Caenorhabditis elegans: one gene and its partners. The protein of the gene in region 1 interacts with the protein of each later gene in a biochemical or structural test. Each region holds a gene or a part of one and is shown in the gene's direction. Other genes may lie near its edges.

Region 1 (2,903 bases):
GGCTCAATTTTAATAAATATAGCTTTCTATTTAATTGTCTTAAATATTTAAATATATTAATTTACAGATCACCATGTCCGACGATAAATTAGACACTCTTCCGGATCTTCAATCGGAAACGTCACATGTCACAACTCCTCACAGGGTACATTAATAGTGAAAATTAACAAGATGATGTTTTATTAAATATCAATTTCAGCAAAATGATCTTCTTCGTCAAGCGGTCACTCATGGAAGGCCACCACCAGTTCCGAGCACATCAACTTCTGGAAAGAAACGAGAAATGTCTGAACTACCGTGGTCAGATTTTTTTGATGAAAAGAAGGACGCAAACATTGATGGAGATGTTTTCAATGTGTACATAAAGGGAAATGAAGGTCCAATTTTCTATTTGCTTCACGGTGGAGGTTATTCAGGCCTCACATGGGCGTGTTTTGCGGTATGTTTTGTTCTATTCTAGTGTCAGTCATTAATGGTTCTGTTCAGAAAGAATTGGCAACTTTAATATCATGCAGAGTTGTTGCACCTGATTTAAGAGGACACGGCGACACTAAATGTTCTGATGAGCACGATCTTTCGAAAGAAACCCAAATAAAGTGAGGTTTCGCTTTGATAAGTTTTGTAACTTCTATCGACATATTGTAGAGATATTGGAGCAATCTTCAAGAACATTTTCGGCGAAGACGATTCACCAGTATGCATTGTTGGACACAGTATGGGTGGTGCATTGGCCATTCATACATTGAATGCAAAGATGATTTCTTCAAAAGTCGCTGCACTCATTGTCATTGATGTTGTCGAAGGTTCCGCTATGGAAGCACTTGGAGGAATGGTTCATTTTTTACATTCAAGGCCTTCTTCATTTCCTTCTATCGAAAAAGCCATTCACTGGTGCCTTTCTTCGGGTACAGCGAGGAATCCCACAGCTGCACGGGTCTCAATGCCGTCTCAAATTAGAGAAGTATCGGAACACGAGTACACTTGGCGAATTGATTTAACAACAACAGAACAGTACTGGAAAGGATGGTTTGAAGGATTATCCAAAGAATTTTTGGGATGTTCCGTTCCGAAGATGCTTGTTCTAGCGGGCGTTGATCGGCTGGACAGGGATCTCACAATTGGTCAAATGCAGGGAAAGTTTCAGACTTGTGTGTTACCAAAAGTTGGACATTGTGTTCAGGTAAATGTTATACTCAATTAATAATTTATATAAATTGTCTTGCAGGAAGATAGCCCACAAAATCTTGCAGATGAAGTCGGAAGATTCGCTTGCCGCCATAGAATTGCCCAACCGAAATTCTCAGCCCTTGCATCACCACCAGATCCAGCGATTCTCGAATACAGAAAACGTCATCACCAATAATTGCTCATTTTGTTTTCCAATATTTTCACAACATTTCTATACAAGTTAAGAAAAAAATATTTTATATGAAAAGATTATCGATTAAATTTCCCGTCTTTTTAGTTCTTGGGAATAATAAATGTCAGCGACATACGAATGAATCGATTATTTTAGAGGAGAGGCAGATGCCAAAAAATTACAGTCAAAAAGAAGTATTCGTGAAAGAGTGCGCAAATCGAGAGACGCAGACAGAATGCAAACGCGCTCCGCTGAACTGTGGCCGCCAAGCGTTTCGTTTAAAAGGGAGCGTTGTCTATTTTCCTATCTATTCTTGCCAGTTTTATTTTATTTCGCAACTATCTTTTTACTACGATTTTCGAAAATATTTTCAAATTCAAGAATGTAATTATTTTGTGTTTCAGAAACCATGTCGACTTCTGTTAAGCATCGTGAGTTCGTCGGAGAGCCAATGGGCGACAAAGAAGTCACATGCATCGCCGGGATCGGGCCAACATATGGCACCAAGCTCACCGATGCAGGCTTCGATAAAGTATGTAGATTTTTTTTTCTCAAATTTTCGATCAATGTTAAAATTTGAATTTCAGGCCTACGTACTGTTCGGACAGTATCTCCTTCTGAAGAAAGACGAGGATTTGTTTATCGAATGGCTGAAAGAGACGGCTGGAGTGACTGCAAATCACGCGAAGACGGCGTTCAATTGTTTGAACGAGTGGGCAGATCAGTTCATGTAAACTGCTCAATATTTCTGCTAAGCATCGATTTGATTCTCCTCTATAATCATCAATGGCCATATTTGCACTTCGAAAAACACCATTTGTTCCAGTGTAGTCGTTTTCCGCTTTGCGACTATGCCCCATTTCAAATTAATCTGTTTCTGAAATATTTCTCATACTTCCAAGTTTTCCCCCTTGTCGTGTGGTCTTGGACTACGGTTCTTGTTTTGTTTTTGACTTTAATTTTGCGATTTTTCTCCCTCCAAATAAAATATTTTCTACGATCCTGAAGAGTGTTTCTAAGTTTTTTATTACGAAAGTTGTCGTTCGAAAGTTTACTTGGAATAAAAACAATATTTTCTATTCTATGGTGATTTCCAGATGCCTCCGAAAAGGGCTGTGAAAAAGAAGGTACAGACCACAGAAAAAGCTCGCCCAACATTGGATCAGGAGATAAAATGTGAGCATTTTTACACGGGTTGGCGGCAATTCGACAATTATCGAAGTTAAAAATTAATTTTTTTTTTCAAAAAATATACTGAAAAATACATTTTCAAATGTGTGTTTCCAAAAAAGTTTCGGATTTGTTACAATATTCACACGGAATTTATTTTTTCAGTAGATGACTCAAATGAGCTTGAACCATCGATTCGAAGTGTTGTGACGAGTTTGATGTTCACTTCGGGAGACGACGAAAATCCACTTTCTGAAAATGAAGATTTCGTTGTGAATATACTGAAAAACGAGTTGGTTCTCTTTATTAACGATGTTATAGAGGTTTATGATAATAAGTAAGCAGATTTTTTTTTTCCGAAATAATTCAAACA
Region 2 (5,409 bases), on another chromosome or scaffold:
TTAAAATTGCTCATTTCTCTGGAAAAAAAAGCGGCTTTGATGTATTTTTCCATAATTTGTAGTTGAAACCTGAAAATTTAGCTGAAATTATCTATTTTTCACTGTAAATTTCTGGAAAATCGTCTCTAAAAATCCTATTTCTCCACTAAAATCGCTCATTTCTCTGGAAAAAATGCGGCTTTGATGTAGTTTTTCCATTAAAGTTCTCAAATTTCAGCTAAATGTAGTGAATTTGTGGTTGAAACCTGAAAATTTTTAGTTGAAATTAGCTATTTCTCCCTGTCAATTTCTTAAAAATCGGCTAAAAATTCAATTTTCCCACTAAAATAGCTCATTTCTCTGGAAATAATGCGGTTTTGATCTAGTTTTTCCATTAAATTGCGCAAATTTCAACTGATTTTGCCAATTTTGATGCTAAAAATTGAAAATTTACATGTGAAAGTTTGAAAATTCGGCCACAAAACCCCGGTTTTCCTCCAATTTTTTGAAAATTCCGACTAAAATCGCTTATTTTTACTAACTTTCAAGTAATTTTCATCAATTTAATTATTAAAAACTTGAAAATTAGCTATTTCAACCTGAAAAATTCTGAAAAGTACAACTTTTTGGTGATAAAATGTGGCGGTTTTCAATTTTTAGATGGAAATTCTGAAAATTCTATCATTTTTCAGCATGGACCTGAACGACGAACGCTACGAAGCATTTTATGAGGGTGACGAGACTGACGAAGACGCCGATTAATACTGTTTTTCGCCTTTTTTTTGTTTTTTCAGTGTTCAAGCTTACTTATCAGTAACTCACACACACACATATTTTCAATTTTTCATTCATTTTCATTCATTCATTCACAACTCTGAAATTCGTATCATGAAGACCTTATTTGTGCTATTTCTCGCCTTTTTTCTGCTTGTTGAAGCTTCTTCGGAAAGCGGAAAACGCGACGTTTTTCACAATATTGAGAACTTTTTCAAGTTCCTTTGCGTCGTTTTTCAAGTTTCTCAGGCGTCGGTACAACGTGAGAAATCGAGAAATACCTCGGAAAGCACAAAGAAATTTCAGAAAACGACCGAAATCACGAGAAATCGAATCTTCCAGGCTGATTCATAGCATTGCAAAGCTGAATTACTTGGCTTTCAGCTCATCGGGCAACTGCACTGAGCTTAAATAATTTTTTTTGTTGTAATTTTTAAAAATTTTTCATTCAATAAAAGGTTTTTACTCAATTTTACTGAGCAAAATTTATCGATTTTTTTAAAAATTTGATGAATTTACCCTGAATATTCAAGGAAAAACCTGAAAAATCGAGACTCGCAGAGGATTTCCTCCGCGGAAATTCCGAATATCAGAATTTATTTTCGAGAGACACCACGAACTTGCGACACCACGAAGTTTTTGAAGAAACAGAATCCGCAGGCAAAGTTTTTTGTTTTAGCACATTTTAGGTTTATTTTGGTTTTATTAAAAATTAAAATAACAATTTCTTTTTTAAAAGTTTAGTTTTTTAGAAGTAAATCTTAATTTCCGGTGAGATATTCTGTAGTTTTTGCGTCCATGGTGGTGTTCATCCCGCACCGCCTCCTCGCAAGCGCGCTCCACTGACATTTCCCGCCGCATTTGGTTCAAATTTCACAACCTTCGAAAATTGACGATTTCCTTCGTTTTTCTTCATTTTTTCGCGTTCTTATAAGATTTTTTAATTATTTTTTACTTTCAGAGAATGGTCGACGTTGAGAAAATGTCGGATGCAGAGCTCCGCGCCGAGTTGAACGTTCGCGGGGCGAATGTTGGCCCGGTAACTGGAACGACTCGTTCGCTGTACGAGAAGAAGCTGAAGAAGTTGCTTTCCGGTGGAGCAAAGGTATTTTAAAAGGATTTAGAATACTTTAGATTTTTTTTTTATAATTAAATTTTCAGACTCCTGCTCGTCCTACCGTCGCCAAACCAGCACCAAAACCAACTCCAAAATCCGCTCCAGCTCCAAAATCCCCAAAATCGCCGCCGGCCAGACGCTCAATTCCACGTGCTGCCGCGACCGCCGCCAATAGCACGATAAATTCCACGTTTAATCGATCGGAAATCGAGGAAATGAGCGATTCGGACGATGATATGCGAGACGACGACGATGACGATGAGGAGATTCTCTCGCCGAAATCCAAGCAATCTTCGTTCAGAAGCGCCAACTCAACGGCGAGCAGTGTTGGACGCGGCCGCCCGGTTTCTTCGACGCCTAACAAGAGACTTTCTCCAGTTTACAAGCCATCTCCAGTCCCAAAGAATACTCCAAGAACTACTTCATCATCAAGCAAAACCACTATCAACACAACTACTACTCGCATTCCATCAACTCCCCGGAGGATTACCTCAGTGCCCGGGTTGATCACAGACTTCACGCCAAGCTTCTCCACATTCGGAAGCGATCGCCCCGGCGCTACACCGCCAAGAAAATCGATTTACACGTCGAAAGTGTCCAAAGTTCTTCACGACTTGGGAAACACTACCGGAGAAGAGGATGATGATGACGAGTTTGAAGGTCAAGAGACGAGTAGAATCATCTACAAGACAGAAGAACCCTCGCGGCGGGGCATTGTGAAGAACGCGTGGAACAAGGTGCTCGGCTATGGTTTCGATGCGTCCAAGAATCCAGGAGACAGCTATGATCTTCGCGCCGGTGCCTCCAGAATCCGTGTGCAGAAGAATCCGAGAACCGGGAAGGTGACTGTGAAGCAGACGAATATTTTCAACGAGGCGATTTATTTCGCGCTCTATGTGATTTTAATTTTGTTCGTCGTGCTTGGAATCGCCTACGCGCTGACAACAACGCATCGCCCGAAAACTGCGGATTTCTCGGGTTATTGGGGAGTTTTGAAGGCGGCCGGCCGAGATTCGCTCAATTTCTTCTACAATTACGCGATTCTTCCAGTCGTTTCACTGGGGATTTGTAAGTTTTGCAGTTCACCACTGCAACTTTTTCCTCACGAGGGACGAGGAAAAGTGGTTTCTAGGCCAAGGCCGAGGGGCCGACAAGTTTCAGCGGCCATTTATCTTGCTTTGCTTTCCGCCTGTTTTCCTTCGTTTTTCACAGTTTTTTCCCGTTTTTTCTTATTAAAACTGATGAATAAATATTTTTTGCAGATGCTAAAATAATTTCCAGATGAAAAAATATGTATTCAGTCGGCAAGTAGTGGTGAAAGTTGTCAATGTAATATGATGGATTACGGGAATACAAAACCTAAACTTTTTCTGAAACATGATACATATGATGCTTAGATGCTGAAATTACCTGATTTTCATAACGAGACCGCTGAAAAAGTTTTGAGGTTTTCAAAATTCAACTTTTTGTGCGAAAATCTCGACTTTTTCACCAAAAAAGTTGAATTTTGGAAACCTCAAAACTTTTTCAGCGGTCTCGTTATGAAAATCAGGTAGTCTCAGCATTTAAGCAGCATATGTATCATGTTTCAGAAAAAGTTTAGGTTTTGTATTCCCGTAATCCATCATTTTACATTGCCCACGTTCACCGCTGCTTGCCCACTGAATACATGATTTTTTTTACTTGGAAATTGTTTTAGCATCTGCAAAAAATATTTATTTATCAGTCTTGATAAGAAAAAACGGGAAAAATCGGTGAAAAACAAAAGAAAACAGGCGGAAAACAAAGCAACATAAATAACCGCTGAAACTTGTCGGCCCCTCGACCATGGCCTAGAAACCACTTTTCCTCGTCCCTCGTGAGGAAAAAGTTGCAGTGTCGGTATTGCAATTTTCTAAGAAAAATAATTTCAGTCGTCGTTCTCGGAGCCGGAATCTACTTTGGACACCGCAAATACAAGGAGGCCAAGGAGCAGGAAGAGGCGAAGCTCTACGAGCTCATCGAGCGCATCACCGAGCTCATCCGCGAGTCCTCAATTGACGGCGATCCGTACGTCTCTCAGCCACACGTCCGCGATGTCCTCTTCCCGCCGGCAAAGAGACGCTCGGCTGAGCTGGCTCGCTGGGAGCAAGCGGTCAAGTTCATCGACACCAATGAGTCTCGCGTCGCTACCGATGTTCTTGTGCTTCCGTCTGGAAATGAGTGTGCCGTGTGGAAGTGGATCGGAAATCAGTCTCAGAAGAGATGGTAGATCATTGTTTTGCTGTATAATTTTTCGATTTTTTAACTCAATTTTTCATTAAAGGTGGAGTAGCGCTAGTGGGGAAATTTCTTTAAAACATGCCTAAGGTATCACAATGACCGAATATCATGATTAAAAAATTATAAAATTAAAAAATGTTTTCTAAATTTTAGGTATATGATTTCTTTTGAAAATTGAAAAAATCTCAGTTTTTACCTACTTCCTATTTGAATTACCACCAATTGGATTTGTTCGATGGAGCGCGCTTGCACGTTTTTAAATTTATTTATTTTATTTTTTGTTATTTTCCACCGATTTTTAATGTTTTCGATGGATTTTTGCTCGAGTTTTAGAGAAAAAGTCAAAATAAATGCAAACAGGCGTAAATCAGTTAAATTAATTAATTCAGGTTCGAAATCGTTTAAAAGCGTTACTTTTTCATTTTAACGCCTGTCATCAGCGTGCCTTTTAATCGAAAATTTGCATTTATTTTAACTTTTTTTTTTCTAAAATTCGAGCAAAAATACACCGAAAATAATAAAAATCGGTGAAAAATAACAAAATATGAAATAAATGAATTTAAAAACGTGCAACAATCGCGCTCCATCGAACAAATTCAATTGGCGGAAATTCAAATAGGAATTAGGCAAAAACTGAGATTTTTCCAATTTTCAAAAAAAATCATATAAAATTTAGAAAATTTTTTTGAATTTTTAAATCATGATATTCGGTCATTGTGGTACAATAGGCATGTTTTAAAGCAATTTCCCCACTAGCGCTACTCCACCTTTAATCCCCCCCCCCCCCCCCCCCAAAAAATTCGAATACTGATGAAATCTGTCCTATTTATTTATTTTATCTTTTATTTTTTTTTTTGTATTTTTCACCGCATTTCTTGCAAAGTTCACAACAATAAACTCATTCACCGAAGGCTCCCTGTAGGCAAAAAAGGGCCTTTAAAGGTAAAAACCGCCTTATATATCTCAAAAAAAAGACCTTCCGCCTAACCGTCTGCGCTCTCTCTCTTCCATGAGATATCTCTCGCGTCGTCTTCAATTTTTCCTCCGCGCGTATTTCCATTAGAAAACGCGATTTTTACAGTTTTTCGTTGAAAAAATGCAAAAAATTGATCGGATTTTCAAATTCACCCATGAAATTTGAATTTTCTAATTGAAAATGTTGAATTTTCACGACGATTTTCCAGCTAAAAATGCACATTTTTAACGTTTTTCTCAGCAAATTTTTAATTTTCCCAATTTTTATCGGCATTTCGCCATATTTCAACACAAAATTGCGC
Region 3 (4,968 bases), on another chromosome or scaffold:
GCGAAACTCGGAAATTGTCGGCCGTCGTGGATAGCTACCCCCAACCGGACGCATGTGCGTCCGGTTCGGACGACCGGACGTCCGGTTGTACAGCCCTAATTTTATATACTCAATTGTTAATCTGCATATTACCAAGAGACATGTTTTGCCCAAGTTCCTCTCACATTTAATCGATTCTCTTGTTTTTTCATTTCAATCTTTTTAGGGATCAAATGTGTTTTAGAGATGCAGGTGTCTAGAGAAAATTGTTTTCCTACTCTTTCATTTCGTATTCTTTTCATTTCACCAAACTTCTCTCTCGCGGCTAATCTCGCCTTCATAATAGAAATTTAGCTTCTAATTTTCGTGCTATACTAATATTCTACCACATGGTCACATCAAATGAGATAAAAACTGTCAACGCGCCAAAATGACACTCTCCCATTGATTTATTGCCCTTTGTCTCTGTGCGTCGACGCTCTAGTGCTCTTTCCAGATGTTGTTTCCTTCTCTTCTCAGCCTCCTTCTCTAGAATTCATTCATTCTGTGTCAAACACCAAAGAAGAACGACATTGTCTTCTCTCACACAAGACTGCTTATGATTTCTCGCTTCCTTCATCTGGCTCTGAATATGTCTTTCAATGGTACATGTTTATTGTTAATCGCCGAGTTTCAAAATTTACACTATCCATATAAAAAAGCGGCAAAACCTCAAAATTTCAGATGTTTGACCACTTCTCTAATACTCTCATCATGCCTCTCCATTATTCGTTCTATTTAACCCTGTACTGGCATGTTGCCAAGTTGTGTATATGTATGTTGTTTACCATATGCACACGTCTTTCCTGCTTCTCTACTTCTCTAGTCATTGGGACCGTGAGCATAAAAAACGAAAGAAAAACTTGAAAATAGTGCGCGAAACGGGAGAGATCAGAGATGAAGGGGTACGCAGCGCTCACTCGCGCGACTAAAGAGAGAGCATTGGCCTGGGCCATTGCCCTTCGAAACAAGATCGAGCGTTTTTCATCGTTTTTGAACCCTCGAAACTCCTACATATCACCTCTCATGCAACTTTTTTACACTAATTTGTGTAATTTGATATCCTATCTTATAGTTTATCAGGTCATTTCTCTTTTGTAGTAGTCCGAAAGTTTTGATTGATCGAATTTCGAAATTCTCCCTAAATTTTCGAAATTTTGTTACTTTCAAATTGACGCGACATGGACGGTCAATCAAAACCAAACAAGTATGCGAGAAATTCCCTTTTCTCTCTTTTTCTCTAATCATTTCAGTCCCATCTGCCTAGTTCTATCGGCAATTTGTGGAAGTGCGCAGATGATTTTTGAAGGCGAGGTGATAACGCCCTGCTAAAGCATTCTTATTCACGAGAGTTTCAAAAAACTATTGAAACGAGGTAAATCTTAGTTGAGTATACCTTGACAATTGTAGTTCTTTGCCGAGTTGCCTAATGTTTGAATTCAACGCTACTTACTGACTATGTTTATGCTTTTGTTTACGTCACTCTCACAAATGTTCCTTATTTCTCTACTATATTTCTTTCTGTTGAAACATTTAAAAAACGAAACAACACACATCTATGTGGAATACTGCCATCTGCCGATTTTGAGGTCACTTGGCGCGCCGTAACTCGCAAATAACCTAACAGCGCCAGATTTTTCGACAAACACACGCTTTCCGAAGTGGTATACACAACGGCCGTGTCCGCATGTTTGCCACACTTCTTTTGAGACAGAAAACTTTTGTTGTATAAAAATTTTATCACAAGAAATATCAAAATGTTGAGTCACGTTCGTGTGGCGCCTATGACGTTTCCTCTCTTCTCTTACATCTCTCTTTGTCTATTTCTGAAACTAAATCCAATATAATTAACTCTTCAGAAAGCAGCGAGAAAAATGTCATCTCGTAAAGGTACTCGTAGTTCTCGTATTGTTACGCTAGAGCGCTCAGCGAATTCGTCGCTAAGCAACAATGGAGGAGGCGACGATTCATTGTGAGTTTTTATTTTGCTTCTCTAGTTCCTGCACTCATAAACGCATTTCTTGTGTTATCTAAAAAAAAACTCGATGAAATGCTTTTCAGTGGCTCAACGCTTCTAGAAACTTCACGTCTTCAAGAGAAAGATCATTTGACTTCACTCAACAGTCGTCTTGCCACTTACATCGACGTGAGTTTTAATTTGGAAAGTATTCATATTTGAAAGTACACTTTTCAGAAAGTTCGTCAATTGGAGCAAGAGAACAACAGACTCCAGGTTCAAATTCGCGACATCGAAGTTGTTGAAAAGAAAGAGAAGTCAAACTTGGCCGATCGCTTCGAGGCGGAAAAGGTACACTTTGTTTATATTCTGATCGCCAAAGGTGTTCTGTGGGAAACTGATGCGGTGGTCTTATTATTCTCGCCGCGGTAAAGTAACAATGCAAATATAAGCTCTCGTTTTGGACGAATGATAAGTGTTGGAATATAGATTATTTGTATTTTCAGGCTCGTCTCCGTCGTGCCCTCGATTCGGCTCAAGATGAGCTCGCAAAATACAGGATCGAGTATGACGCTGCAAAGGTTGAAGTAAAGAAGTTGAAGCCACAAGTCGAAAAACTTGAGAGAGAACTCGCTGGAGCTGAGGAACAAGCCCTCCATGCCCAATCTATTGCTGATCAAAGTCAAGCAAAACAGAAGACGTTGCAGGCACGCAACGATAAATTGGTGGTGGAGAATGATGTAAGAAATTTTAATTTTATCAAAAGTAAATGTTCAATTTTGTTGTTTTCAGGATCTCAAAAAGCAGAACATCACTCTTCGTGACACCGTAGAAGGACTCAAGAAAGCCGTTGAAGATGAAACTCTTCTCCGAACAGCCGCCAACAATAAAATCAAGGCTCTGGAAGAAGATCTCGCTTTTGCTCTTCAACAGCACAAGGGAGAACTTGAAGAAGTTCGTCACAAGAGACAGGTCGACATGACAACCTACGCCAAGCAGATTAATGATGAGTATCAATCTAAGCTTCAAGATCAAATCGAAGAGATGCGTGCTCAGTTCAAGAACAATTTGCATCAAAACAAAACAGCTTTCGAAGATGCCTACAAAAACAAGCTCAATGCTGCTCGTGAACGCCAAGAGGAGGCTGTATCCGAAGCAATCCATCTTCGTGCCCGTGTTCGTGACTTGGAGACATCAAGCAGTGGAAATGCTTCGCTCATCGAACGTCTTCGTTCAGAGCTCGACACTCTGAAGAGATCGTTCCAAGAGAAGCTCGACGACAAGGATGCTCGAATTGCTGAACTTAATCAAGAGATCGAGCGCATGATGAGCGAGTTCCACGATCTTCTTGATGTTAAAATCCAATTGGACGCCGAACTCAAGACCTACCAAGCTCTCCTTGAGGGTGAGGAGGAGCGTCTCAATCTTACTCAGGAGGCGCCACAAAACACTTCAGTTCATCACGTCTCGTTTTCATCCGGAGGAGCAAGCGCTCAGCGCGGAGTGAAGCGTCGTCGCGTTGTCGATGTAAATGGAGAGGACCAAGACATTGATTATCTCAACCGTCGCTCCAAACTCAACAAAGAGACTGTTGGCCCAGTTGGAATCGACGAGGTTGATGAGGAAGGAAAGTGGGTCCGTGTTGCAAACAACTCTGAAGAAGAACAATCCATCGGAGGATACAAGTTGGTGGTCAAAGCTGGAAACAAAGAAGCCTCCTTCCAATTTTCATCTCGTATGAAGCTCGCTCCACATGCTAGCGCCACCGTTTGGTCTGCGGATGCTGGTGCCGTTCACCACCCACCAGAAGTCTACGTTATGAAGAAGCAACAGGTTGGTCAATTATTTTAAAATATTTCTGTCTTACTTTCATGAATAGAAGAAACAAAAAATGTTCATTGTAATTACAATTTTCAGTGGCCAATTGGAGATAACCCATCAGCTCGTCTTGAGGATAGTGAAGGAGACACTGTTTCTTCTATCACCGTTGAATTCAGCGAATCATCGGATCCATCGGACCCAGCCGATCGTTGTTCCATCATGTAATTGAGAGTCGATATTACATCAATCCATTTGGACCTCATTTTTACATCTATCTCTTCCTAATATTCCTTCTTGTTGTGTTGTCCTCGAGAGTTACACTGATCCTCTTCTTTTTCTCTGTCCCTCCTACGTTTTAACCGTGTTCTTGTTGTTAATATACTAGAATATGGCAATAATTTTGTTTTAAGGAAATCTCGAAATTTCACTGCCCTCTTTCCAAGAACACACCTTTCCCTAAGACTAGATCCAATTTCCATTTTTTTGAATTCATTGAGCTCACCGTCAAAATGTAAAATAGCTCGTTTTTAACCATTTGCAACAAAAGCATCAATCAAACTCCCTGTCTTCCAATGATGTTTCTTCCAACTTACCGATCGGTGTCGCTCATTAAAATTTCAAAGTGTATTTCGTTTATTTAACTTCAAAAACATGAAATATTTCTTTTCTTTCTTTACAACTCGTCTATCGTCTATTTTTTTAGGTTTATTCCATACATTTCTAAGATGGTTATGACATATAATTAGGATATGCAAGTACCGATTAAGCCAACTGTTTTTCTTTTCGAATCTATTCACTATTGAGCTCAAATGAGCACATGACAGTCGGTTAAGTGAGGTCATTGCATCACACAATAATAGAGGAGAACGTATTGAATACGGTAATTGGTTCGAATTTCTTGACAAAAATAAGCCCGTTTAGTTCAAAAACTGTAAATCTAAACAAGCCTCGATTCGAAAACTCGTAAAATCTCAGAATTAATACGCCTTTTTCACACCCCTTTTGTCAAAGCGGCTGTGGAAAAGTCAAACATTTGCGATTAGTTTGCTGGCGTTGTCCAATTGTCGAAATGTAAAATGAGATGGACATTTTTATGGGAAATCATCAAAGAGAATTGTTACGGTATCTCATTCCGACATACAGTAAAACTGATAAATGAGAAATAAACTGAG

Evidence for each region. The genes of interacting proteins can lie anywhere in the genome.
Region 2: the proteins of baf-1 (region 1) and lem-2 interact in far-western blotting, tested with the Caenorhabditis elegans proteins (one study listed by BioGRID).
Region 3: the proteins of baf-1 (region 1) and lmn-1 form a complex in vitro, tested with the Caenorhabditis elegans proteins (one study listed by BioGRID).

Annotation. Positions count from the first base shown.
Region 1 is NC_003281.10:9,465,700-9,468,602, forward strand, and holds baf-1 (Barrier-to-autointegration factor 1), read left to right. Parts: upstream 1-1,764; 5' UTR 1,765-1,769; coding exon 1,770-1,892; intron 1,893-1,947; coding exon 1,948-2,094; 3' UTR 2,095-2,359; downstream 2,360-2,903. Other genes in the region: B0464.9 (putative protein phosphatase methylesterase 1), read left to right, coding at 74-145, 200-439, 487-596, 646-1,180, 1,226-1,363; tag-342 (transcription initiation factor TFIID subunit 13 family protein), read left to right, coding at 2,458-2,536, 2,696-2,867. UniProt on the Caenorhabditis elegans protein: DNA-binding protein which plays an essential role in nuclear envelope formation. Required for normal chromosome segregation during mitosis. Associates with the nuclear lamina via its interaction with LEM domain containing proteins emr-1 and lem-2.
Region 2 is NC_003280.10:14,061,738-14,067,146, forward strand, and holds lem-2 (LEM protein 2), read left to right. Parts: upstream 1-1,712; 5' UTR 1,713-1,717; coding exon 1,718-1,858; intron 1,859-1,914; coding exon 1,915-2,938; intron 2,939-3,783; coding exon 3,784-4,121; 3' UTR 4,122-4,909; downstream 4,910-5,409. Other genes in the region: W01G7.4 (putative RNA polymerase II nuclear localization protein SLC7A6OS), read left to right, coding at 672-741. UniProt on the Caenorhabditis elegans protein: Nuclear lamina-associated inner nuclear membrane protein that is involved in cell division, nuclear structure organization, maintenance of nuclear envelope integrity and nuclear envelope reformation after mitosis.
Region 3 is NC_003279.8:8,761,164-8,766,131, forward strand, and holds lmn-1 (Lamin-1), read left to right. Parts: upstream 1-1,877; 5' UTR 1,878-1,892; coding exon 1,893-1,990; intron 1,991-2,079; coding exon 2,080-2,164; intron 2,165-2,212; coding exon 2,213-2,326; intron 2,327-2,481; coding exon 2,482-2,715; intron 2,716-2,767; coding exon 2,768-3,808; intron 3,809-3,892; coding exon 3,893-4,021; 3' UTR 4,022-4,468; downstream 4,469-4,968. UniProt on the Caenorhabditis elegans protein: Major component of the nuclear lamina, a fibrous layer on the nucleoplasmic side of the inner nuclear membrane. Provides a framework for the nuclear envelope and probably also interacts with chromatin.